3 linked regions of the Oryctolagus cuniculus genome follow. The protein of the gene in region 3 purifies or fractionates together with the protein of the main gene of each other region. This does not show direct contact. Links are inferred from orthologs where the notes say so. Each region holds a gene or a part of one and is shown on either strand. Other genes may lie near its edges.

Region 1 (7,406 bases), about 120 Mb from region 3:
GAGGTGGACATTGATGGAAAAAGGGCATGAAAAGCTCAAGGAAGGGGTAAGCTTGTGGAAGCATGAGAAGACAGTGAGCAAAGGCACAGCGGCAGAAATCTAGAGGTTTTTACAGGGACACAGTGTAGCTAGAACCAAAGGTTTATTCATGAGTGGCTAAAAGATATACTGGAAAAGCAGGGAAGGGGCTGATTTTAAAGGCAATGAAGATTTCTAAGGGAGCTTGATGGGTACAAAATGGTAACTTAGGGGCCAGTGTTGTGGCATACTGGGTAGGACCACTGCTTGCAATGCTGGTATCCCAAATGGGCATTGGTTTGTGTCCCGGCTGCTCCACTTCCAATCCAGCTCCCTGCTAAGGGCCGGGGAAAAGCAGTGGAAAGTGGCCCAAGTGCTCAGACCCCTGCTATCATCATAGGAAGCCTGGAGGAAGCTTCTGGCTTCAGCCTGGCCCCAGTGCTGGCCATGCGGCCATTTGGGGATTGGGCCAGCAGATGGAGGATTTCCCTGTCTCTCCCTCTCTCTCTGTAACTCTGCCTTTCAAATAAAATAAATAAATAAAATTTTTATTTGAAAGGCAGAGTTACAGGGGCCAGCGCCGTGGTGCACTAGGTTAATCCTCTGCCTGTGGTGCCAGCATCCAATATGGCGCCAGGTTCTAGTCCCAGTTGCTCCTCTTCCAGTCCAGCTCTCTGCTGTGGCCTGGAAAGGCAGTGGAGGATGGCCCAAGTGCTTGGGCCCTGCACCCACATGGGAGACCAGGAGGAGGCACCTGGCTCCTAGCTTCGGATAGGTGTAGTTCCAGCCGTTGCGGCCATTGGGGAGTGAACCAACAAAAGGAAGACCTTTCTGTCTCTCTGTCTGTAATTCTACCTGTCAAATAAATAAATAAAAGTCTAAAAAAATAAAAATGAAATGAGTTTAAGAAACATTATGACTTAGCCACTGTGGTAGGAGAAGAGGGATAAAGTCAAGAACAACTCAAATTTCAAACCAAAAAGAATGATAATACTGAAAGCAAGTTTGGGTGATGAACTTTTTTTCCTTTTTCTAGGATTTTTAACTTTAAATAAACAATATTATATGGGGCCGGTGCTGTGGCGTAGCGGATAAAGCTGCCACCTGCAGTGCTGACATCCCATATGGGCACTGGTTTGAGACCCAGCTGTGCCACTTCTGATCCTGCTCTCTGCTATGGCCTGGGAAAGCTGTGGAGGATGGCCCAAGTCCTTGAGCCCCTGCACCCACGTGGGAGACATGGAAGAAGCTCGTGGCTCCTGGCTTCAGATGGGTGCAATTCCAGCCACTGCGGCCAACTCGGGAGTGAACCACTGAATGGAAAATCTCTCTCTTCTTGCCTCTCTTTCTCTCTGTATAACTCTTTCAAATAAATAAATAAATCTTTAAAAAATAATAAACATTATAACAATAAGGAGGAGGGAGACATCATTTCCCAAGCTCTCCATCCCAAAATTATCTTTTAAATATTTTATTATAAATATTTTCCATTATGATCTTTGATGTTATCTATATTCATCAAGTTGATCAGGTAAATTTTTTTTAAGATTTATTTGAAAGTCAGAGTTACACAGAGAGAGGAGGAAAGGCAGAGAAAGAGAGAGAGAGAGAGAGAGAGAGAGAGAGAGAGAGAGAGAAGAGAGAGAGGTCTTCCATCCGCTGGTTCACTCCCCAGTTGGCCACAATGGCCAGAGCTGCGCTTATCTGAAGCCAGGAGCCAGGAACTTCTTCCAGGTCTCCCATGTGGGTACAGGGGCCTAAGGACTTGGGCCATCTTCCCCTGCTTTAACAGGCCATAGCAGAGAACTGGATTGGAAGTGGAGCACCCGGGTCTTGAATCAGCACCCATGTGGGGATGCTAGCACTGTAAGTAGCAGCTTTACCTGCTATGCCACAGCACCAGCCCTGATTAAGTAAATTTTATGTAAACATTTCTTTTAGACACTTTCCAGTTTTTAACTATTTCAAATAAACCTGAAGTGAGCCATTTTAATAGCTAATATTTATACAGTGCTCACCATGTACCAATACTGTCACATAAAACAACTCACTTAATTTCATAACAATCTATAAATTAGGTCCTGTTATAGCTCCTATCTTACCAATCAGAAAATCAAAGCACAGAGCGGTACACAATTTGCCCAGGATCTCTCAGTAAATGGCAAAGTTGGAGTGTAAACCCAGGACATTTGCATCTAAAGTAAACAGTTGTTATTTTCTCTCAGATTTTCTACTTCCACCTTAGGACAAATTTGCATGAATGGGGAAATTTTGGTCAAAAGGCACAAACTTTTTTATGACAATAAATACTGTCAATTAGCTTACTTAAGAGTTTTGGGTGAAGCATGAGGAATTCAGTACAATATGTGAAATTTATTTGAAGGCAGTATATTCAGGAGGAGATGTCAGAACACAAACTGGCCAAATGGACCAAAACTTAGGCTAGGGCACGAGGCTGGAAAAAGATCTAGGGACCATAATCCTAGGGGTGACAGGGAAATCTGAACGTACATAGGACTCCTGAGGGAGGAAGCACAGCAGGAGAAAAGTGCACAACCAACGGCCGAGCCCTGGGGGAGGCTCACTTCTAGGAGGTGACAGCCTCAGGGAAGAGGGCTGAGATCTGGGGGTTGCCAGAACTGGGGAAGAAGGAAAGAGAATCATGGAAAGGAACTTGCGGTAGAGACAGGATGTGCAAGAGGGTCAAAGGAAACTGAAGAAAAGTAAATAAACATTCAAAAAAGGCCACTGGATTTGGCAGTTAAATCACTAGTGATGGCAAGTAAACATGGAAAAAAACTGAAAGTAGGAGTTATGGTTTGTGTATAAGATAGTCATAAAAAGATGGGTTATGGGGCTAAGATTAACTAGATGACAAGAGTAGAAAGAAAAAAGGGCACTCAGCCAACAGGCAAAAAGGAATCAAGGAGTTGTATTTCACCAGAGAGGGTAATTTGTGGATCTATTTTGTGTGCGTAATGATCCAAACTAATGGATGGGAACAATGGCATGCATAATCCAAAAATAATTTCTGCTTGCCTTTAGAATACGTTAGATGAGAAACTTTTGGTAGCAAATTTAACTTTCTATTTATATTTCGCTTAGGCTACTATTTAACCCTTAAGCACTTTGAATATTCTGTCTGCACCAGACCCATAGACTCCTTTTTTATTACTATGAAAAAAGTGCACATTGCTTAAGTGTATAGCTGAGAAGAAGAAAGGGGTAATTTGAGAGCTGTCTGGGGATGCTGGATGGCAAGCAGGAACTGGCTCCTAAATGAAGTCAGCATGAATAACATCTAAAACACTCACAGATGGATAACTAAAAAGTGATTACAGCAAGATGACTTTATTTTTTTAGCCAAGATCAATTAGGGTTTTCACAATTTTTATATTTTTAAAAATGAATTAATTTAATTTAATTTGATAGGCAGAGAGAGAGAGAAAGAGATCTCCCATGTGCTGGTTCATTCCCTATATGACACAACATCAGAGCTAGGCTTGGTCACGCCAAAGCCTGGAGCCAGGAACTCAATCCCATGCAAGTGGCAGGGACGTAACTATTTGAGTCATCACCTGCTGCCTCCCAGAGCATGCTTTAGCAGGAAGCTGGAGTCAGGAGCCCCAGCCCAGACTTGAAAACAGTAGCTCTGATAGGGTATGCAGGGGTCCCAAGCAGTGTCTTATGCGACATACCTGTCCTTTTTTATAACTACTTTGCAGCGGGATGACAAAGCATGCAGTCTTCCCTCCTTTCTTTTGAACAAGAGGGCACCAAAACTCCTGACTGAACATATGCTACATTAAATAGGACAAACCAGTACTTTTCAAACTTTTATGACAGAAATAGAAAAAAATCTACAGTATAAATTTGACTTTATGACCTGGTACCATATGCACATATATGCATAAAATAAAAATTTCATGTATAGCTGGCATTGTGGCATAGTGGGTAAAGTCACTGCCTGCAACACTGGCATCTCGTATGGGCACCGGTTCAAGTACTAGCTGTTCCACTTCCAATCCAGCTCCCTGTTAATACACTGGAAGATAGCCCAAGTGTGCTTGGGCCCATGCACCAATGTGGGAGACCCAGAAGAAGCTCCTGGCTTTGGTCTAGACCAGCTCTAGCCATTGAGGCCATCGGGAAACAAACCAACGGATGGAAGATATGTCTCTGCCTCTCCCTCCCTCTTTCTCTGTAACTCTGCCTTTCAAATAAAGAAAATAAATCTTTTTAAAAAATTTCATGTAATAATATTTGCCCTATTTATGGTACACATTCTGGTTTTTCTACTCTATTTCAATTTTTTAAAATGCTGACCACAACACACTGAAATGATATCCTGTTCTATAGTTACAACCCACAGTTTGAAAAACAATTCAGAAGGCTTTGTCTTCAGAGTCATCAGGGACAGGGTATCATCATTTAAAACATCCAATAATGAAAAGCAGTGCAAATTAAGTGCCCCCAGTGAATGGTATGGAAGCTGAAAGCAAAGCAGAATCATAATGGGCTAACATAGGTGAAGGCAGTCTTCCTGGAAGAGGAAGGATTTGAGAAGGCCATGGTACAGGTAAATGAGTCAGCCACAGCGAAGGAGAGGCCACAAATGACTTCAGGAAAGCATGAAGAAAAGTCATGACATTGTTAAAGGAACAATGAACATCAATAAAATTGTGTTTTTAAACGACTGAAATGACCACTGAGCAAAGTGGCTTGAAGGTATTCTTGGGGCCAGTGTTGTGGTGCAGCGGGTATGGAATCCTGTTTGCTCTGCTTCTGATCCAGCTCCCTGCAATGCACCTGGGAAAGCAGCAGGGGGTGGCACAAGTGCTTGGGCCCCTGCTACTCAGGTGGGAAACTCTGAGGGAGTTCCAGGCTCCTGGCTTTGGCCTGGCCCAGCCCCTGCGATTGTGGCCATTTGGGGAGTGAACCAGCAGACAGAAGATCTCTTTCTGTTTCTCCCTCTTGTTCTCACTCTTTCAAATAAATAAACCTTAAAAAAAACAAAAAACACAACAACAGAGAAACCGTTTCCCCTGAGCATTTCCTTAGCCTGAGATCTATAAATGAATCATGATGGGATGTGAATATGACTGCAAAATATGAAAAAAAAATTATAGATACTGGGTACAAAACAAACTAGGACCAAGCCTCCAAACATAAAACTGCTAACCAACTCCAGAAAGATACACATAGAGATCCCTCCTCCATTAAACCCATTTGATTAAAACATTGATAACAGATTATTAATAACAGCAGCAGCCACCACATGTGGAGTACCTACACATGCCAGACACTTTGCTATACTAAGTGTACACTTTCTCTGTATCAGCACAATGGTCACATATCCCCCACTTTACGGGTAAGGAAACAGGTTCAGAGGAGGGCCATCTAGCACTTGGGGCCAAACTGCGTTTGTTTCACATACTGCCTGCCTACTGAATAAGCAAAACAGGAAGTACCAACCTGTTCTGAAGCAGATAAGGGAAGGGGCAAGGATCCCAATTCCTTCAGCAATTCATTTGTTTCCTTGGCCAGCTGATTGGTGGAGTGTTGTAACTGTTGCCTAGGAGAGAAAAGATCTGTTTCAGGATGTTGTCATTTCTTGGTGCTCAGAAATATTACCCCTGTAAACCCACTTCAAGGCATCTTCACATCACTGAGCAGAAAGAACCTGCCTCACTGACACCTACTGAAGGAAGCACAGATTGGAAATTTTAACTCTTGGGGAGAAAAGAAAAGTACATTAGCAGTTCTAATAAAAAAAAAAAAAAAAAGAAAGAAAAGAAAAAAGGGGCCAGCACTGTGGCGTAGCAAGTAAAGCCACCGTCTGCATCCCATATGGGCACCAGGTTCAAGTCCCGGCTGCTCCACTTCCAATTCAGCTCTCTGCTACAACCTGGGAAAGCAGAAGTAGACACAAGCTCTTGGGCCCCTGAACCCATGTGGGAAACCCAGAAAAAAGCTCCTTAACCCCTGGCTTCAGATTGGCCCAGCTCCGGCCATGGTGCTCATTTGGGGAGTGAACCAGCAGATGGAAGACCTCTCTCTCTCTGCCTCTCTGTAACTATGCCTTTCAAATAATAAATAAATCTTAAAAAATATATATATATATATTATATATATATATAAATAAAGTAAATGCTACCTATACCTAAGTCTTACCTGACCATTTCAATCCACTAAACTCTCTCATAAAACTCTCACAGTGAATTGCCCAGGACTTCTGCATAGCTAATGTTTGTCTTAGTCCACTGACCAGAATCCAGGCACAGATGGCTGAATAAAATGTTTATCAAAAGCAATGCTTCAGGCCGGCGCCGTGGCTCACTAGGCTAATCCTCCGCCTTGCGGCGCCGGCGCCGGATTCTGTCCCGGTTGCCCCTCTTCCAGGCCAGCTCTCTGCTGTGGCCCGGGAAGGCAGTGGAGGATGGCCCAAGTGCTTGGGCACTGCACCCCATGGGAGACCAGGAGAAGCACCTGGCTCCTGCTTTCGGATCAGCGCGGTGCGCCGGCTGCAGTGCGCCAGCCGTGGCGGCCATTGGAGGGTGAACCAACGGCAAAAGGAAGACCTTTCTCTCTGTCTTTCTCTCTCACTGTCCACTCTGCCTGTCAAAAAAAAAAAAAGTTAAAAGCAATGCTTCAAAAAAAAGGGGAAGGAGTGGCTGGCGTTGTGGTGTACCAAGTTAAGTCACCACTTACAGCGTCAGCATCCCATATGGGTGCCAGTTCAAGTCCCAGCTGCTCCACTTCCAAACCAGCTCCCTGCTAATGCACCTGGGAAACCAGCACAACGCAGCTGGAGTCCTGGGCCCCTACCATCCACATAGTCAAGACCTGGAAGAAGCTTCTGGCTCCTGGCTTGGGTCTGGCCCAGCTGTGGCCATTGTGGCTATTTGGGGAGTGAACCAGAGGATGGAAGATCTCTCTGTCTTTCCCTCTTTCTGTAACTCTGCCTTTCAAAAAAATAAAAATAAATCTTAAAAAAAAAAAAAAAGCATCGCTTCCCACCTACCCTAGAGGACAATCTCCTAAGACCTATGCTCATTTCCTAGCTTAAAGCTGCTTCTTTCTCGGCTTTATCCTTGGCTCCCTATCTGCTCTTTATGCTTGACTTTGTGGTTCTTCCCTCCAAAACAAAGAAGCCCTACGTAGTTTAAAATTACATAAGGAGTAGAGAGGGAAGGAAACCAGAGAAGGAAGAATATGTAATATAATAAGTGGGATTGGAAAGCAATGGAAACATGTAAGAGTCCTTTTCACTCACTGCTTCTTTCCTATGCTCTCAGGCATTTCTACACAGGTTTTAAGGGAGGTCAGAGAAACCACATGTGGCGGTCTGAATGTTTATGCTCCCCTAAAATTCACATGTTGGAATC
Region 2 (7,406 bases), on a different chromosome or scaffold from region 3:
TCTCATTTTATAGCCAAGAAAAGAGGTCAGGTTCCAAAGTGCTGAAGAAAACTATCCAAGCCTACATGTTGAGGCAGACCCAAAGCTAGTACCAGAACCTAAGCCCACGACTGATCGCTCTCCCCAGATGTTTCCTGGGTAACAGCATTCCAGTATCCTCTTAGTATTTTTGCCATGTCCAAGTACCATTTTTACTTTTAATTGTTTTCTTTACATAAACTTATTTCACGTAAAACACATCTATTTAACATGTAAAGTTAGAAGGAAACGGTATCATATTTTAAATGGAAAATCTATATAATCTTATTGGAAAAATTACAGTGAAAGCAAAAGAACACTGTTTTACTTAGTTACTGCTCTGGAGCTAGAACCTATATTTGTTAAAGGAGGAGTTTAGTAATTTTACATATAAAGACATACCAGCACCAAAATAACGTGTAGGGTTGAAAAAGGGAATGACACTCATGGTGCATGTCATTACCCATGCCACCACCAGGGGGAGACAAGCACCACACCCTGCAGCCTCCCAAAGGAGCAGACTTGCAGAAAAGCAGTAACTAAGAGTTGTTTTTTTTTTTTTTTTTTTTAATATTTTATTTATTTGAAAGAGTTACACAGAAAGAGAAGGAGAAGCAGAGAGAGAGAGGTCTTCCACCTGCTGGTTCACTCCCTGAATGGCCACAATTGCCAGGGCTATGCCGGCCAAAGCCAGGAGGCTGGAACTTCTTCCTTGTCTCACGTGGGTACAGGGGCCCGAGCACTTGGGCCGTCTCCTGCTGCTTTCTCAGGTGCAATAGCAGGGAGCTGGATTAGAGCTGGAGCAGCTGTGTTTCAAACTGGCACCCATAAGGGATGCTGGCATCGCAGAGGGTGGTTTTACCTCTACGCCACAACACCAGCCCCAATCATAGGTTTTTAAATGCCTTTGGGGTGAATAAATACTGCTACCCCCACCAGGCCAGGAATGGGAAGTTTATTCTAAGCTAAAGGAATGGCCTATATACAAATGTATGGAAGCAGTAATGAGACTTAGAAACTTACCTGTCTTTTCTAGAAGAGAAGAAGAAGTTGATCAGAGATTTTGATGAAAAGCAGCAAGAAGCAAATGAAACCGTAAGAGCAAGTCTTTGTTTCTTTTTCTACCTGGTATTTCCAGAAGTAATGCTATGACCTGATTGCAGATTAACTGTCACTGTCTATTGATTTTGATTTTTACCATTTCTCACTAAATTAGTGAGGCAACTAAAGGGGGTGGGTGTTGAGGGAGTTGACAAACACAAATGGGTGAAGCTTGAATACTCTCCTGAAGTAGAGTTTTGATAACATCTTCCTGATGTGAGTAGTAAGAGTATTCTCAAGCTTTTAACTGCGTGGTCTCTTTAAATCTCTAGCCATTAAGATGGTGAATTTTTTTTTTTTTTTTTTTTTTTTTAAGATTTATTTCTTTGAAAGAGTTACAGAGAGGCAGAGAGAGAAAGAGAGAGAGAGGTCTTCCATATGCTGGTTCACTCCACAGATGGCTGCAGTGGCTGGAGCTGCACCAATCCAAAGCCAGGAGCCTCCTCTGGGTCTCTCACGTGGGTGCAGAGGCCTGAAGATTTGGGCCATCTTCTGCTTTCCAAGGCCATAGCAGAGAGCTTGGTCGGAAGTGGAGCAACCAGGACTTGAACTGGCACCCATATGGGATGCTAGCACTGTAGGCAGTGACTTTACCCAATATGCCACAGTGCCAGCCCCTTAACATTGTTTTTCTGCCTTTTTTTTTTTTTTAAATTGATTTATTGGAAAGGCAGAGAAATCTTTCATCTTCTGGTTCACCAAATGGCTGTAATAAACAGAGCTAGACTGGGCCAGGCCAAAGCCAGAACCAGGAACTCCATCTGAGTCTCCCATGTGAGTGGCATGGGAGCATAAGCAGAAAGCTGGATTGGAAGCAGCAGAGTAGCTGAAACTCAGACCAGCATTCCAGTATGGAATCCTGGCATCGCAAGTGGTAGCTTGACCCAGTGTACCACAGTTACTGTTCTTTGTTAAACTTTTACTGTCACAGAAGCTGTGGCCCACAGGTGGATCTAGCCATGTTCCGTCCTGTCCTGAAAGACAAAATAGTAGCCAGATGTGGTTCCTTAATAGGACGAATTCCCAGATAGGATCTAAAGCTTGTCATAGTACAGCTTATTAAGGGCAGAGGTCCTAAATGTGGAGCCAGTGCACAGCATTATTAATTTAACAATTAACACTTTATTTATGACATCAGTGATCACCCAAGGCTTTTATCATGAGCTGCCAAGGCTATGGAAGCCTTTTGAGTCCACAAACTCCATCAGTATTTAGACAGGGCCATAAGCAAAGTGGACGTTCTCTCCTCCCTTCAGAGAAAGGTACCTCCTTTGATGGCCCCTTCTTTCCACTGGGATCTCACAAAGATCCTTCATGTAGATTATTTGTTACCACAGTGTCTTGGCTTTCCATGCCTGAAATGCTCTCATGGGCTTTTCAGCCAGATCCAAATGCCTTACAGGCTGATCCTGAGGTCAGAGTGCTAATTAGAGCATTTGTCATTCTGTAAGTCTGCTGTGTGGCCTGCTTCCCATGTTGGATCACTGAATCAGTTTTAAAAAGGACCAGGCCACCAGGCTGTGGAGACCATCTCCTTTATAATGGGAGTACTAGAATCTCTTAATACCTTCTTAGTACAGGTGAATATACCCGTAATACCCGTTTTGTGACCAGTCGTCTTGGTAGCATAAAAAAAAAAAAATCTTTTCCCTACCACCGTTCTGTTTGGTGCTTAGATGCTTTATTTCTCAGAACTTAGAAAAATTAACAAAGCTACTCTGGTCACCCAGGCTGATGAGTAATATAGGCCCTCTTGTGAACCTAGCTAGGTGTTTTATCTATCCCACAAAGGGGAAAGCAGTCTGCTCTGTGGTCCCTGGTTATCTTCTGCATGAAGACAAACATAACTTTTTCAGAAACAGGAGGAAGTGAATAATGCAAGTGCCAAACCCTGTCATTTTTACTGTAGACCGCAAAGTGCTCCTCTTTTTAATATTTTTTTAAAAGGCAGAGCAAGAGGGAGAGATCGATCTTCTATCTGCTGGTTCATGATTCTCTCCCACCCCCCAAAATGGCCAAAACAGGTTAGGCTAGTCCAAAGCCAAGAGCTAGGAACTCCATCCTGGTCTCTCATATCGGGGCCGGTCCCAAGCACTTGGGCCATCTTTGGCTGTCTTCACAGGCACCTTAACAGGGAGCTGGATCAGAAGCAGAGCAGCCAAGACTTGAGCTGGCACTCTGGTACGGTATGCCGGCATTGCGAGCATCACCTTAACCCACTGTGCCACAAGGCTAGTCCTCACAGGACTTCTTGGCCGCACTGTTGAGCCAACCAGGCTGAAAACTAGTATATTGAGGAGAGCTAAGAAGTTGATTTTTGATTCCTGACTCCTCTTATTATGTAATCTTGAGCAGTTTTTTTTTTTAAGTCTTATATGTAAGATGGAGAGAGTATTTCCTATTGAATCGATTTATTAAGGATAAAATGACAAAATGTAAATACTTAGTAAGCTATAGGAGGGCCAGCGTTGTGGCACAGTGGTTGAGCTGCCACTTAAGATGCTGTCATCCCATATCGAAGTGCCAGTTCAAATCCCAGCCAGTCCGCCTCCCACCCAGCTCGCTGCTAATGTGCCTGGAAGCACAATAGAAAATGGCACAAATACTTGGATCACTGCCACCCTTGTGGGAGACCAGATGGAGTTCTGGGCACCTGGCTTCGGCCTGGCCCAGCCCAACATTTTGGTCATTTGAGGTGCTTCTGTTTTGTTTTCTCATCAGATTTTTTTTTTTTTTTTTTAAAGATTTATTCACTTGAAAGGCACAGTTAGAGGGAGCAACAGAGAGAGAAAGATCTTCCATCGGTTGGTTCACTCCTCAAGCAGCCACAACCACTAAGGCTAGACCAGGCAGAAGCCAGGAGCCTGGAACGCCATCTGCATCTCCCATGTGGGTGGCAGGGATCCAGGCACTTGGACCATCTCGTCTGTCTTCTCAGGTGCATTAGCAGGGAGCTGGATGGGAACTGGAGCAGCCAGGACTGGAATCGGTATCCATGTGGGATGCCGATGTTGCAGGTGGCTTAACCTGCTGCGCCACAACACCAGTTCCCATCAGATTTTTTTTAATGCTTGTGAGATACTCAGATGAGTTAAGCATGCCAGGTGCAGTTCTGCCTCATGAAGCATTTGGCTGAGGACGTACGTGGGGCACTCTGTGGTTTGATTACTCTAAACCAGGCCCATCCCCCGAGGAACCAGGCCATCTACTCATGACTGACTTTCTGCCTTCCCAGCTGGCAGAGATGGAAGAGGAATTACGTTACGCACCCTTGTCTTTCCGCAACCCGATGATGTCTAAGCTTCGAAATTACCGGAAAGACCTTGCCAAACTCCACCGGGAAGTGAAAAGCACACCTTTGACAGCCACGCCTGGGGGCCGAGGAGACATGAAGTACGGAACATATGCCATGGAGAATGAGCACATGGTAAGCTCCAGCTGTTCTTTATCAGGGCCTGGGAGACAAGAATGAACCACGTTGTAGAGCATAGCCTACATTCTATGTCCTAGATTGTTGTCTTGTGTATACCCTTCTCCTTTTTCCTGTATCCAGTCTCCTCCTCCCCGGGTCCCCACCTAAACAAATCTTTCTAAACCATACACATACCTATTTATCTCCATGCTTCATGTATGAGGGGATCTCCAACAAGTTCATGAACAATGGAGTTGTGCAGTGAAGTCCTCGCGTCCCGTGTCTGAGTGCCTGGTTTGAGTCCCTGCTACTCTGCTTCTGACCCAGCTTCCTGCACGCCCTGGGAAGCAGCAGATGATGGCAGAAGTGTTTGGGTCCCTACCATGGATGTCAGAGACCTGGATAAAGTTCCTGGCTTCTGGCTTTGGCCTATCTGAACTCCAGCTGATGTGGACATTTAGGGATTGAACCAGCAGGTGGAAGATTTAATTCTGCCTTTCAAAGGAATAAAAGTTTTCCCTTTTTTTAATATAATAGATTTATTTATTTTTTATTTATTTGACAGATAGAGTTAGTGTGAGAGAGACAAAGATCTTCCTTCCATTGGTTCACTCCCCAAATGGCCACTACGGCCGGAGCTACACTGATCCGAAGCCAGGAGCCAGGTGCTTCCCCCGGGTCTCCCACGTGGGTGCAGGGCCCAAGCACTTGGGCCATCCTCCATTGCCCTCCTGGGACACAGCAGAAAGCTGGACTGTAAGAGGAGCAACCAGGACTAGAACCCGGCGCCCATTTGGGATGCCAGTGCCACAGGCAGAGGATTAGCTAAGTGAGCCACGGTGCCGGCCCCCAATGAATAAGTTTTCTTAGTTTTTTCGCAGTACGTGCTTTCCATGAACTTTTTGAAGACATATATATAAAACAATGCTTTGTGTGTAGCAGCATGTAAGTGAAACCTGTTATTATATCCGGACTCTGTATCCCTGACCCATTAACGTAATTTCTTATCTTCTTGAGCTTTTATGTTTTCAAATGAGTTTTAGAGTCACTGTCTCAAATATGCCAAAAAAAATTCAGTTTGACTTTTTGTCTTATGTTAATGATTGAGTGGCAGAGAGACAGAGACAGAGATCTCCCATGCTGGCAACATCTGGGGCTGGGCCATGCTAAAGCCAGGAGCCAGAAACTGAATCCATGTCTCCCATGTGGGTGGCAGGAACCCAAGCACACGACCCATTTCATGCATTAGCCTTCATTTCATGTGTACATTAGCAGAAAGTTGGAATTGGGAGTCGGGACTCAAATCCAGCACTTGGATATAGGATATGGGTATTCCAAACAACATTTTAACCACTGTACCAAACACCTGTCTTCATTTAGGTTTTTATCAGAGCATTGTTACAAAACCAATCCAAGCCTTCCTTCACATTAATATCAAGATGACACATAGAGTGGAGAATGCAGGATGCTTCCTAAGAAGGGACTAATACTTTGTTTTGTTGTAATGGGAAGTGAACCAGATTGCCTTTCTTGCCTTCAAGATTCTTATAAAATTGGACTCATTGAAAAATCTGTATTCTGAAACCATCCAGAGATGCTGAACAGTTGGATTCTTTTCTACAAATGCAGTACAAGATAGAAATTGGCAAGTAGCATGGAGTAGAAATGGAAAAGGGGGTCCACCAGTGCAGACTGAACATGTGTAGAAAGGCTGGTAATGTAATTATAAACAAGTTACATTTCATAATGCATCTGGATTATAGTTTGAGACATTCAGAATGATACTGTCTTGACACTGCTATTGTTAAAACTAGACATTGTGGAGCCAGCATTGTGACATAGCGGGTAAAGCCTCTGCCTGCAATGCCAGCATCCCATATGGGCACTAGTTCATGTCCTATCTGCTCCACTTCTGATCTAACTCCCTGTCAATGTGCTTGGGAAAAGCAGTGGAATATAGCCCAAGTACTTGGGCCCCTGCCACCCACGTGGGAGACCTGAAAGAACCTCTTGGCTTCAGTCTGGCCCAGTACTAGCCGCTGTGGCCATCTGGGGAGTGAACCAGCAGATAGAAGTCTCAGTCTCTCTCTCTCTCTCTCTAAATCTGACTTTCAAAATACATACTTTTTTTTTTTTTTTTTTTGACAGGAGAGTTGGAGAGAGAGACAGAAAGGTTTTCCTTCCGTTGGTTCACCCCCTAAATGGCCACTACGGCCAGCGTGCTGATCCAAAGCCAGGAGCCAGATGCTTTCTCCTGGTCTCCCATGCAGGTGCAGGGCCCAAGCACTTGGGCCATCCTCCACTGCCTTCCTGGGCCACAGCAGAGAGCTGGCCTGGAAGAGGGGCAACTGGGACTAGAACCCGGGGTACCGGCGCCGCAGGCAGAGGATTAGCCAAGTGAGCCACGGCCCCGGCCACAAAATATATACACTTCTTAAGACATTATGAGAATGATGTAAAAATTTTAAGTGGATGCACAAGGCATCACACGCTGACACTAAAGGGATGAGCATTATGGTGCAATGGATTAAGCTGTCAGTGTTGGATGTCTGGGTTTGAGTCCTGCTTCTGCTTCCAATCCAGTTTCCTACTAATTCACACCCCGGGAGGCAAGAAGTGATGACCCAGTACTTGGGTCCCTGCCACCCACACAGGAGGTCAGGATAGAGTTCCTGGCTTCTGGCTTCAACCCAGCCCTTATTTGAAAGATACAGAGATCTTCCATCTGTTAGTTTAATCCCAAAATGGCTGCAACAGCCCTGGCTGAAGCCAGGAGCCCAGAACCGTGTGGCCATCATCATCTGCCTTCCCAGATGCATTAGCGGGGAGCTGGAGGAAAGCAGAGCAGCTGGGACTGGAGCTGGCGCTCTGATAC
Region 3 (8,159 bases):
TATTAGATCACACCTTTTGTACCCAATCATATTTCTACATAGCCGTACATGCTTCACAGAACCTAAGCGTCAAATGGGTAGTTCACCTGGGATCTTTAGATCCCCAATATGAAGACTCTCAAGTCATACTGAACTAAGATCAGATAAATTTGTTATGCTTTCCTCCTGTTAACCTGTCTTCTGTAATAGGGGTGTCAGCCACGACCCTTTACGATGGACAGGAAAAGGATCACCTCTTCTCTGTCCCTATAGTGACCATAAACATTAGTTTTTTTCTATTATTTACAAAGGGAATGAATGTATTTGGAATCATTCCTTTCTGAACTTAAGACTGTGAACTTACCCTTTCACTTTTCACAGAACCAGTGACATCATCATCATTTAGGTGGCGCTTGAACTTGGGAGGCATATTTTACTCTTCTACTTCCCACCAGAGCAAGTATTCACCACCTTAAAGAGAAAATAAATGTCATCAGAGTTGAGACACCTGGAATAAGGGGGCCTCCTTCATTTTTCTAACTTCAACCACACCCCTCTCACTTGCTCCACTCCAGTGTCTCAGGCCTCTATGAGCAAATAAATGTAACTGCCCTAAGAGAACACGTGTAGGGAATAAATGAATTAAGGCTTGTATAAAATGAAAGAACAAACAGAGGGGAAAACTATGAGGCAGCCCTCTGAAAATGAGTCATTAAATGCTTTAGGGTCAGAAGATGATAGTACACTTCTAGTTCTCTCACTTTTATTTGGTTGTTTAAGCAATGGTGCAGTTTCCTCATCTGTAATATAGTGATTTCTGGCATGGAGTTGGGAAGGTCAAATAAGATAATACATACAGAAATATTCTGCAAATTATGGTGTACCATTGGTGCTCCACGAAAAGTGATGCTTGTAAGTGCTGGTGTGATGTTAGGACTTATGTGTGCATACACATAAACATATATTTTATATTTGGTCTCAACCCTGTTCCCTGACATACAGTTCCTAAAGCACTTGGCATCTGCCAGAGTGTTAACAGTGCCTTTTGTATGCTACAAAATGACTGGTGCCTAGCAAATCATGGGTACCTTAGGATGTGGCAGGTTTAGGAAAGACAAAGCCATGATTAGGACTTCTCAGCTCCAACCTATACTATCTAGGGAGACAGCTGAAGGTTGGGATGATCTCCAGTGGTCAGTGATGATGTAATCAATCAAGCCTACTAATGAGGCCTCCACAAAATCTCAACAGGCCCATGTCTGTGAGAGCTTCAGGACAGTGAAACATACAGCGATTCCTGGAGGGTGGCAGGCCTGGAGCAGGCATGCAAGCTCCACACACTTCCTCCTATATCTTGCCCTGAGCGTGTCTTCCATTCCATCTGTTGTTCTTTGGTATCCTTTGTAATATCTTTTATAAGCTGGAAATGTGTTTCCCTAAATTCTATGAGCCACTCGACCAAATTCACTGAACCCAAGGGGAGGATTATGGCCACCTTGATTTACAGTTGGTAGATCAGAAGCACATGTAAAACAACATGGGACTTGAGATCGGCCTCTGAAGTGGGGGCAGCCTTGTGGGCTGGGCTCTCAATCTGTGGGGTCTGATGCTATCTCCAGGTAGACAGTGCCAGAACTAAACTGAATTCAAGGACACCCAGCTGGTGTCCACCAGATAATCTATGAAAGAATTGTTTGCCCCCCCCCCCCCCAATTCTAGGGTCACAAAAGTGTTCTGTGTCATGAGACAGTAAAAAAAAAAAAAAAAAAAAAAAAAAAAAAAAAAAAAAAAAGCTGTGTTTGTTTTCCTTATATCAGAACTGAGGTAAGTAGCTCCAGTCTTTGCTACAGAACCATCTCAGCCCCTTACATGTTAACATGCATAGTAACTTTCTAGGAATATGCTTGAGTATGCAATATAATTAAAATTTTCTGGCAGAAAAAGCTGTCCTATGCAAATATGAATTTTCAGCATTTTGAACTTGATGGGTGAATATACAGCAATTCAGAATAGCTAAGATGTACTGAATGTTATTTACTATGGGCTGCACCTTGCACTCAGCCATACACATGCATTTTTCTCTTTTAATCTTTGATACTCTTTTGAAGTAGGCACTAAGAAACTGAGAGAAAAAATAAGGCTTAGTAAATACAAATAACAGTGTTTGTCATTTCAGTCATTGAAATAGCAGAGACATAAACCTAAATTGCTCGACAGCTGTGCATTATCAGCTTTCTTTGCTTATTTGAGAGGGAGGGAGGAAGGGAGACAGAGAGAGAGAGAACATGTTCCCAGCTACTTGCTCACAAAATGTCCACGATGGTCCCCTACCAGCTGATGCCAGGAGCCTGAAACTCAATCCACGTCTCCCACATGTGTGGCAGGAACCCAATCATTTCAGCCATCTCTGCTGCCTCCCAGAGTGTGCATTAGCAAGAAGTTGACACCAGGAGCTGGAGCCAGGAATGGAACTCAGGCACTCAAATGTGGGATGCAAGCATCTTAACCAGTGTCTTAACCACTATGCTAAATGCCTGCCCCCATAATTAGCTCCAATATTTACTCAATTAGGTTACACATTTCTGTCCTGGAAAACACATTTTCCCATGATAATCCAGGAGCCCTGTTCCCTCTTCATAAGAATTTAAGATCTTTAAATTAGGTATTGTTAGGCATTAGTTTGTTAGCTAATGTTGGGCACTGAAGAAAGAAAAAGGACCAGGGTATAGGTTCAAAGACCTAATAAAGGTAATAAATATTTTGAGCCAGCTTCCTATAAAAAAAATACTGAAAAGAAATGTTTCCAAGTTAGAAACTCAACCACTTGTCACATAAACCAGTGTTGCCACCTAAGTAACAGTTCCAGAGTTCTTCAATTCACAGTTTTTGTCACATACGTCCTGTCCATTTATTCCCCATATTTCAATTTCCAAATAATTCATCCATGCAGGAATGTTGCAGAATGCATGGAAAAACAGATGACAAAGCAAATAACTGAGAAACTTGAGCTTTTCTCATGTGTTTGTTTATATTTTAAACCCTACAAAGAGGCTGCCTCAGCAGCCCCAAAGCAAGACTTGTAAAATGCCTTTATGAGACCTAAAGATAAGATCTTAATGATGAGCAAACCCCCTTCGAGGTCCCATTCTCCAAGAATCAACCTCACAAAGTCAAGAAATCATGTCTGACAAACAGAAAAGCCAGAAGGAAGATTAATTAGCTATGCTTGAGGAGTCACAAGGCAACAGATATTTGTATCAAACTAGTAGAAATAAACCACGCTCAGCTATTGGATTCGTACATATTCTGCCTAAGATTTCTCCTACAAAAATACCTGTGAATTTAGGTGTTTGTATGTAAATGAGGCAGCCACCATTATGTATTGCCACACTGAGGACAGGCACCACTCCACAATTCACTTTAAAAATGTCACAACACTTTATACTTCTTACATCATCATCACAGGTAAAAAACCTCATGTACGCATTTTTGTAGTGTGTTCTCTATTCCGTGGCTTTATATGTAATAACCTTCTAATCTGCTGCTTAATAAATGCTGACTTTTTGCTTTCCAAAGAAAACCAAACACACACACACACCATTTATGTTTTTCAGTTCACAAAAGCTGGAATTTGAGCAGCCTTCCTTTTCCCAGCCTCCAATCCCTTTCTGACTTCTCTTTCCCATCTCTCAGCAGCTTTGGTTGCCCTCTCTCAGAAATAGAGACTTGGCTGGACACACTGGAGATGTTATTCATACAACCTGTCAAGTGTACTGCCCGACCCCCGCCTTCCGGGGTTAGAAACGTACACGGGCTGGTGTTTTCGCCCCAGCCCTTCCTTAAAGCACCATTTCCATAGCCTCCAACAGGCAGCTCCCCTTACTCCAGCGATCGCACCAGGCCACGGACCCCCACGTCTGCTAACTCGGGCCCATCCTGCCCCTGACACCCACTCACCCCAGCTACCTCCCGCTCTGAACAAATCTTCCTCATCCACGCACCCTTCTCTTCCCATCTCCCCAGCGCACCCCTCACCTCCAGTCTCCACAACCGCCCCCCATCCGCACACCCCGTCACCGACCCCGGCCCCAACCCCTTCCCTCTCAGGGCTCCTCGGCCCCCGGCCCCTAGACCCCTGCCCGCCTAGCCCGACCCGGACGTTGGGGGGCCGTGGGGCAGGGGCGTCGTCTTCCTTTCCTGCCTCCTCACACCAGCCCCTCCCGCCGGGAAGAGGCCGGCGCCAGTACCTGAGGCTCCCGGGGAGCTCCCGGCAGCTCTCCCGAGCGGGCGGCGCTGGGCGGGCGGGGGAAGGAGCGGGAAGCCGAGGGAAAAGGCTGGGAGGGGGAGACAGTGGGCGCGGACCCGGCGTCGGCCGCTGCGCCGCAGCTGCGCCCCCGCTCATCGAGCCGATCGGCGCTCCGCGGCCTGGCTGCAGGCGGAGGGGGCAGCCCAGGGCGCGGCGATCGCCGAGGGAGTCGATTCCGCCCGCTGCGTCTAACCCCGAAGAACCTCTGGCCTTCCAGCCGTCTGAGATCTGGATACCCAAGCTATGCTGTGTTTTGAGGAGGAACAGTGGTTCTCGAGGTGCTGGCGCGCATCAGGCGTGCGTGGTGGGCGCGAGGGGAGCGGTGTCGGAGCCGCTGAGAAGTAGCTTAGGGTGGGGCTCGGAGCTTCGTGACTGGGGTCGGTAAGACCTTTAGGTGGTGCTTGTGCGAGATCCGTCCCCAGGCTGAGGAAGTCGAATGGGAAGAGGAAGGTGGCTTAGAGGACCAAGGGACACGCAGGGAGAGGAGGAAGTAGACACGCTCTTACATGCTGCTGCTGTTTCTGTGTGGTTGACTTAATGCACTAATTGAAAAGGCGCCGCTAAGGCTTGCCCCTGGAGTTGCCGTATCCGGAAGGCTTGTGAAACTACTGGTGCCCGGGCACTACTCAGATTCTGATTTAGTTTGCTATGTTCACAGACTGCGAGCAGTGGGGTTGGGCTCCCTCAAGAGCTGGAGTTCGCTACTGATGAGGACAAAAGTGGTCCATCTGGAATGGAAGCCTCTTGTAGTTTCTGTCCCAGCCTCCACGGATAACCCAGAAATTAGTTCTTCTCTGAAGTGATTTTGTGTCTGTACTATTTGTGAGTAATCTATTCTTTTTCTTAGTTTTTTTTTTTTTTTTTTTTTAGATTTTTAAAAAATGCTTTGACTTGTAAGTAAGAATGTCAGAGACAGAGGAAGAGACACAGAGAAAGAGAGCTTCCTTGTACAGGTTCACTCCCCAAATGGCTCTAACAGCCAGGTCTGGTCTAGCCCGAAGTCAGGGGCTGGGTTCTCTTTCCTGGTCTCTCACGTGGGTGGCAGGGCCCAAGTACTTGGGCCATTTTCTGCTGCTTTCCTATGTAAGTTAGCTGGGAGTCAGCTAGGAAGCTCCAACCAGTGCTCTGATACAGGTGGTCAGCATCCTAAGTGGTGGCTCAAGCTACTGCGCCACTGCGTTGGCCTCTTAGTCTTTTAACCAAAAGGATCTGCCAGTCTTTTTGGTATGATTGCTTACGGGAGGGAAAATACAAACTTCACCTTTAATCACTTGAACAAAGTCCCTTTGATTTCCCTAACATGTGTGAAAACTTAGAAAATGTCGTTTTACAGTTACCATGAATCCAATATGCCAGTAAACCTGAAAGATGATAAATAACACTGAATTTAGAGTCAGGACTCCAGCCAACCTGAATTATATTATTTCCTCCCCTGTTTTCTTTCTCATGAACTCCAGTTATGGAGACGGTAATTCTTCACTTTTTCTTCACATTTAAAAAAATTCCTTTTATTTATTTGAAAGGCAGAGAGAGATCTTCCATCTGCTGGTTCCATCTGCAAATTCCTACACTAGCCAGGGCTGGACCAGGTCAAAGTCAGGAGCTGAAAATTCAATCCAGAACTCCCATGTGGGTGGTAGGCACCTACGTGGTTAAGCCATCACCTGCTGTCTCCAGTGACATGCATTAGTAGGAAGCTAGGGTCAGAAATGTGATGGGGACCTCGAACCCAGGCACTCAGATATGGGATGTGGTGTCTTAACTGCTGGCCCAAAAGCTAGTCTCCAACTCTTTTTCAACGTAAGACCTTCACCCCTAAAGGGCCCCAGTGTCATTGTAACTAGAGAACCTATGTGTTGCCCTCTGCCAAGACTAAATCTCTGGGCTTTGGCTGGGATAGGGATGGGAATATGAGCATCTGATCAATTCTTAAACATATTTTCTGTAATTCCTCCTGTTAGCCCACTTCATGCTCTTTTCCAGGATTACCTGGCACTTCCAGTTCCTGAACCTTACGTGAACTTTAGCTGTGTAAATCAGGTTGTTCCATGACCTGATTAGAATCTATTTCTCAGGTGTGCAACTTGATTCAGCTACTTAACAGCTTTCAACGTTTTGTTGCTCTTGTCTGTCATGAGGCAGAAGTGCAAATCAAATACAAGCATGTGAGCAAATTTCAACCGTCACTCAAAAATGTGAATCAAAATAAACAGATAAAATACCACTCTTCATGTATCAGTGACTAGGAAAGGAGGAGTTAAACAGATCTGCAGTCCATTCTCACCATAGGGAAATACTGCTACCAAGCAAACAAATGTGAAATTCATATATATACGATAATGACAAACCTTCTGGCAAATAAACTTGATATTTATTAGCAGGAAAGTCCATACCAGTGGAATTTCTCTGGGCTAGGATTGCTAATGGTAAACACATCAGGGATCTGTAGATTTCAGGGGATTGACTCCTGGGAAAATACCATGTAAGTTTTGTAACTTGGCATAAAATGGAGATGTTTTGTAACTGAGTTGTCTCCTGTGTAAGTAGGAGTAGGGTGACTGCACACCTTACTTAGCACATCTTACCCTTTGCCAAGACATATCTGAAACAGGAAGAAAGCTCCTAGGAAGTAGCACTGAGTCCTGGATCTGCCCTTTCTACCTTTTGATTGTTCGTATTCTTGAAGTTATTGGTATAGTTTGATACTGGGTAAGAGGTAGGATCTGTTTGAGTTTGGTTTGACGATTTGATCCTTTGTGTTAGCTCAATGACAAAGCTTGAAAAGTTGGATAATATAGTGTTGCATGTGCATGGTGGTATGGGGTCAAGTGGGAGAAACGGTATTCCTAACGCTGTTAATGATGAATTTGTACTGATAATGACAGTACAAATTCATGCAAAGTTTTTTCAAGTTCAGAGTAATAGTGTGTGTCTACATTTTATATGAAGTTGCTTGGTTCTAATAGCTCCACTTCTAAAATTTATCCCATCAACAGTCAAGCTGTATATAAATGTTCTATATTCTTTTTTAAAAAAGATTTATTTATTTGAAAGAATCACACACAGAGAGAGGTCTTCCATCTGTTGGTTCACTCCCCAGTGGGCTACAACAGCCGGAGCTGCACCGATCTGAAACCAGGAGCCAGCAGCTTCTTCTAGGTCTTCCATGTGGGTGCAGGGGCCCAAGGACTTGAGCCATCTTCTACTGCCTTCCCAGGCCATAGCAAAGAGTTGGATCAGAAGTGGAGCAGCTGGGACTCGAACCAGCGCCAGCATTGCAGGCAGCTACTTTACCTGCTATGCCACAGCGCCGGCAGTGTTCTATATTCTTTACATGATTTTTATAATAGCAAGACTCAGAAAAAAAATTTAAAAAAAATAAAAGCCTTTAACTGTCCAACAATAGAAAATTGCTGAAATAACTCATGGTATATCCATTCATGGGGATAGTCATAAGCCCCTATAATGAACTACATAAATCTACACCCGCCAACATGGGGGTATTTCTGTGATGTGCTATTTAAGGTGAGAAATGCAGTGTACAGAAACACTTAAGTATCTTACACACTAAGAGAACTAGGAGCCTGGCATGGAAAGTGTGACGAACTGAATTGTGTCCCCTTAAAGTTCGTATGTTGAATCCCTAACCCACAATGTGACTAAGTGTGGCAGGGCCTTTAGAACAGTGGTGACTAAGGCTCATGTTGTGAGAGTAAAACCCTAATCCAATAGGCCTGGTGCCTGAGTGCCTGAGTGCATGGGCACACGAAAGCACAGTGATGTTTACAGTCTAGGGAGAGGGGACTTTGAGCCTCAGAACTGAGAAAATAAGTTGCATTCTCACCCAGCCTGTTGTCATTTGGTATGTTATCCC

The links.
Region 1: the proteins of VAMP4 (region 3) and STX12 purify together in Homo sapiens (affinity purification with mass spectrometry; 3 studies listed by BioGRID and IntAct, counting the BioPlex papers as one, with this or other methods). This does not show direct contact. The link is inferred for Oryctolagus cuniculus from reciprocal best matches to the Homo sapiens genes VAMP4 and STX12.
Region 2: the proteins of VAMP4 (region 3) and VTI1B purify together in Homo sapiens (affinity purification with mass spectrometry; 4 studies listed by BioGRID and IntAct, counting the BioPlex papers as one, with this or other methods). This does not show direct contact. The link is inferred for Oryctolagus cuniculus from reciprocal best matches to the Homo sapiens genes VAMP4 and VTI1B.

Annotation. Positions count from the first base shown.
Region 1 is NC_091438.1:143,823,971-143,831,376, forward strand, and holds part of STX12 (syntaxin-12), read right to left. Parts: intron 5,594-7,406; coding exon 5,494-5,593; intron 1-5,493. UniProt on the Homo sapiens protein: SNARE promoting fusion of transport vesicles with target membranes. Together with SNARE STX6, promotes movement of vesicles from endosomes to the cell membrane, and may therefore function in the endocytic recycling pathway.
Region 2 is NC_091451.1:13,549,402-13,556,807, reverse strand, and holds part of VTI1B (vesicle transport through interaction with t-SNAREs homolog 1B), read left to right. Parts: intron 1-1,054; coding exon 1,055-1,113; intron 1,114-4,354; coding exon 4,355-4,546; intron 4,547-7,406. UniProt on the Homo sapiens protein: V-SNARE that mediates vesicle transport pathways through interactions with t-SNAREs on the target membrane. These interactions are proposed to mediate aspects of the specificity of vesicle trafficking and to promote fusion of the lipid bilayers.
Region 3 is NC_091438.1:26,788,879-26,797,037, reverse strand, and holds the start of VAMP4 (vesicle-associated membrane protein 4), read right to left. Parts: upstream 4,448-8,159; 5' UTR 4,227-4,447; intron 451-4,226; 5' UTR 410-450; coding exon 344-409; intron 1-343. UniProt on the Homo sapiens protein: Involved in the pathway that functions to remove an inhibitor (probably synaptotagmin-4) of calcium-triggered exocytosis during the maturation of secretory granules.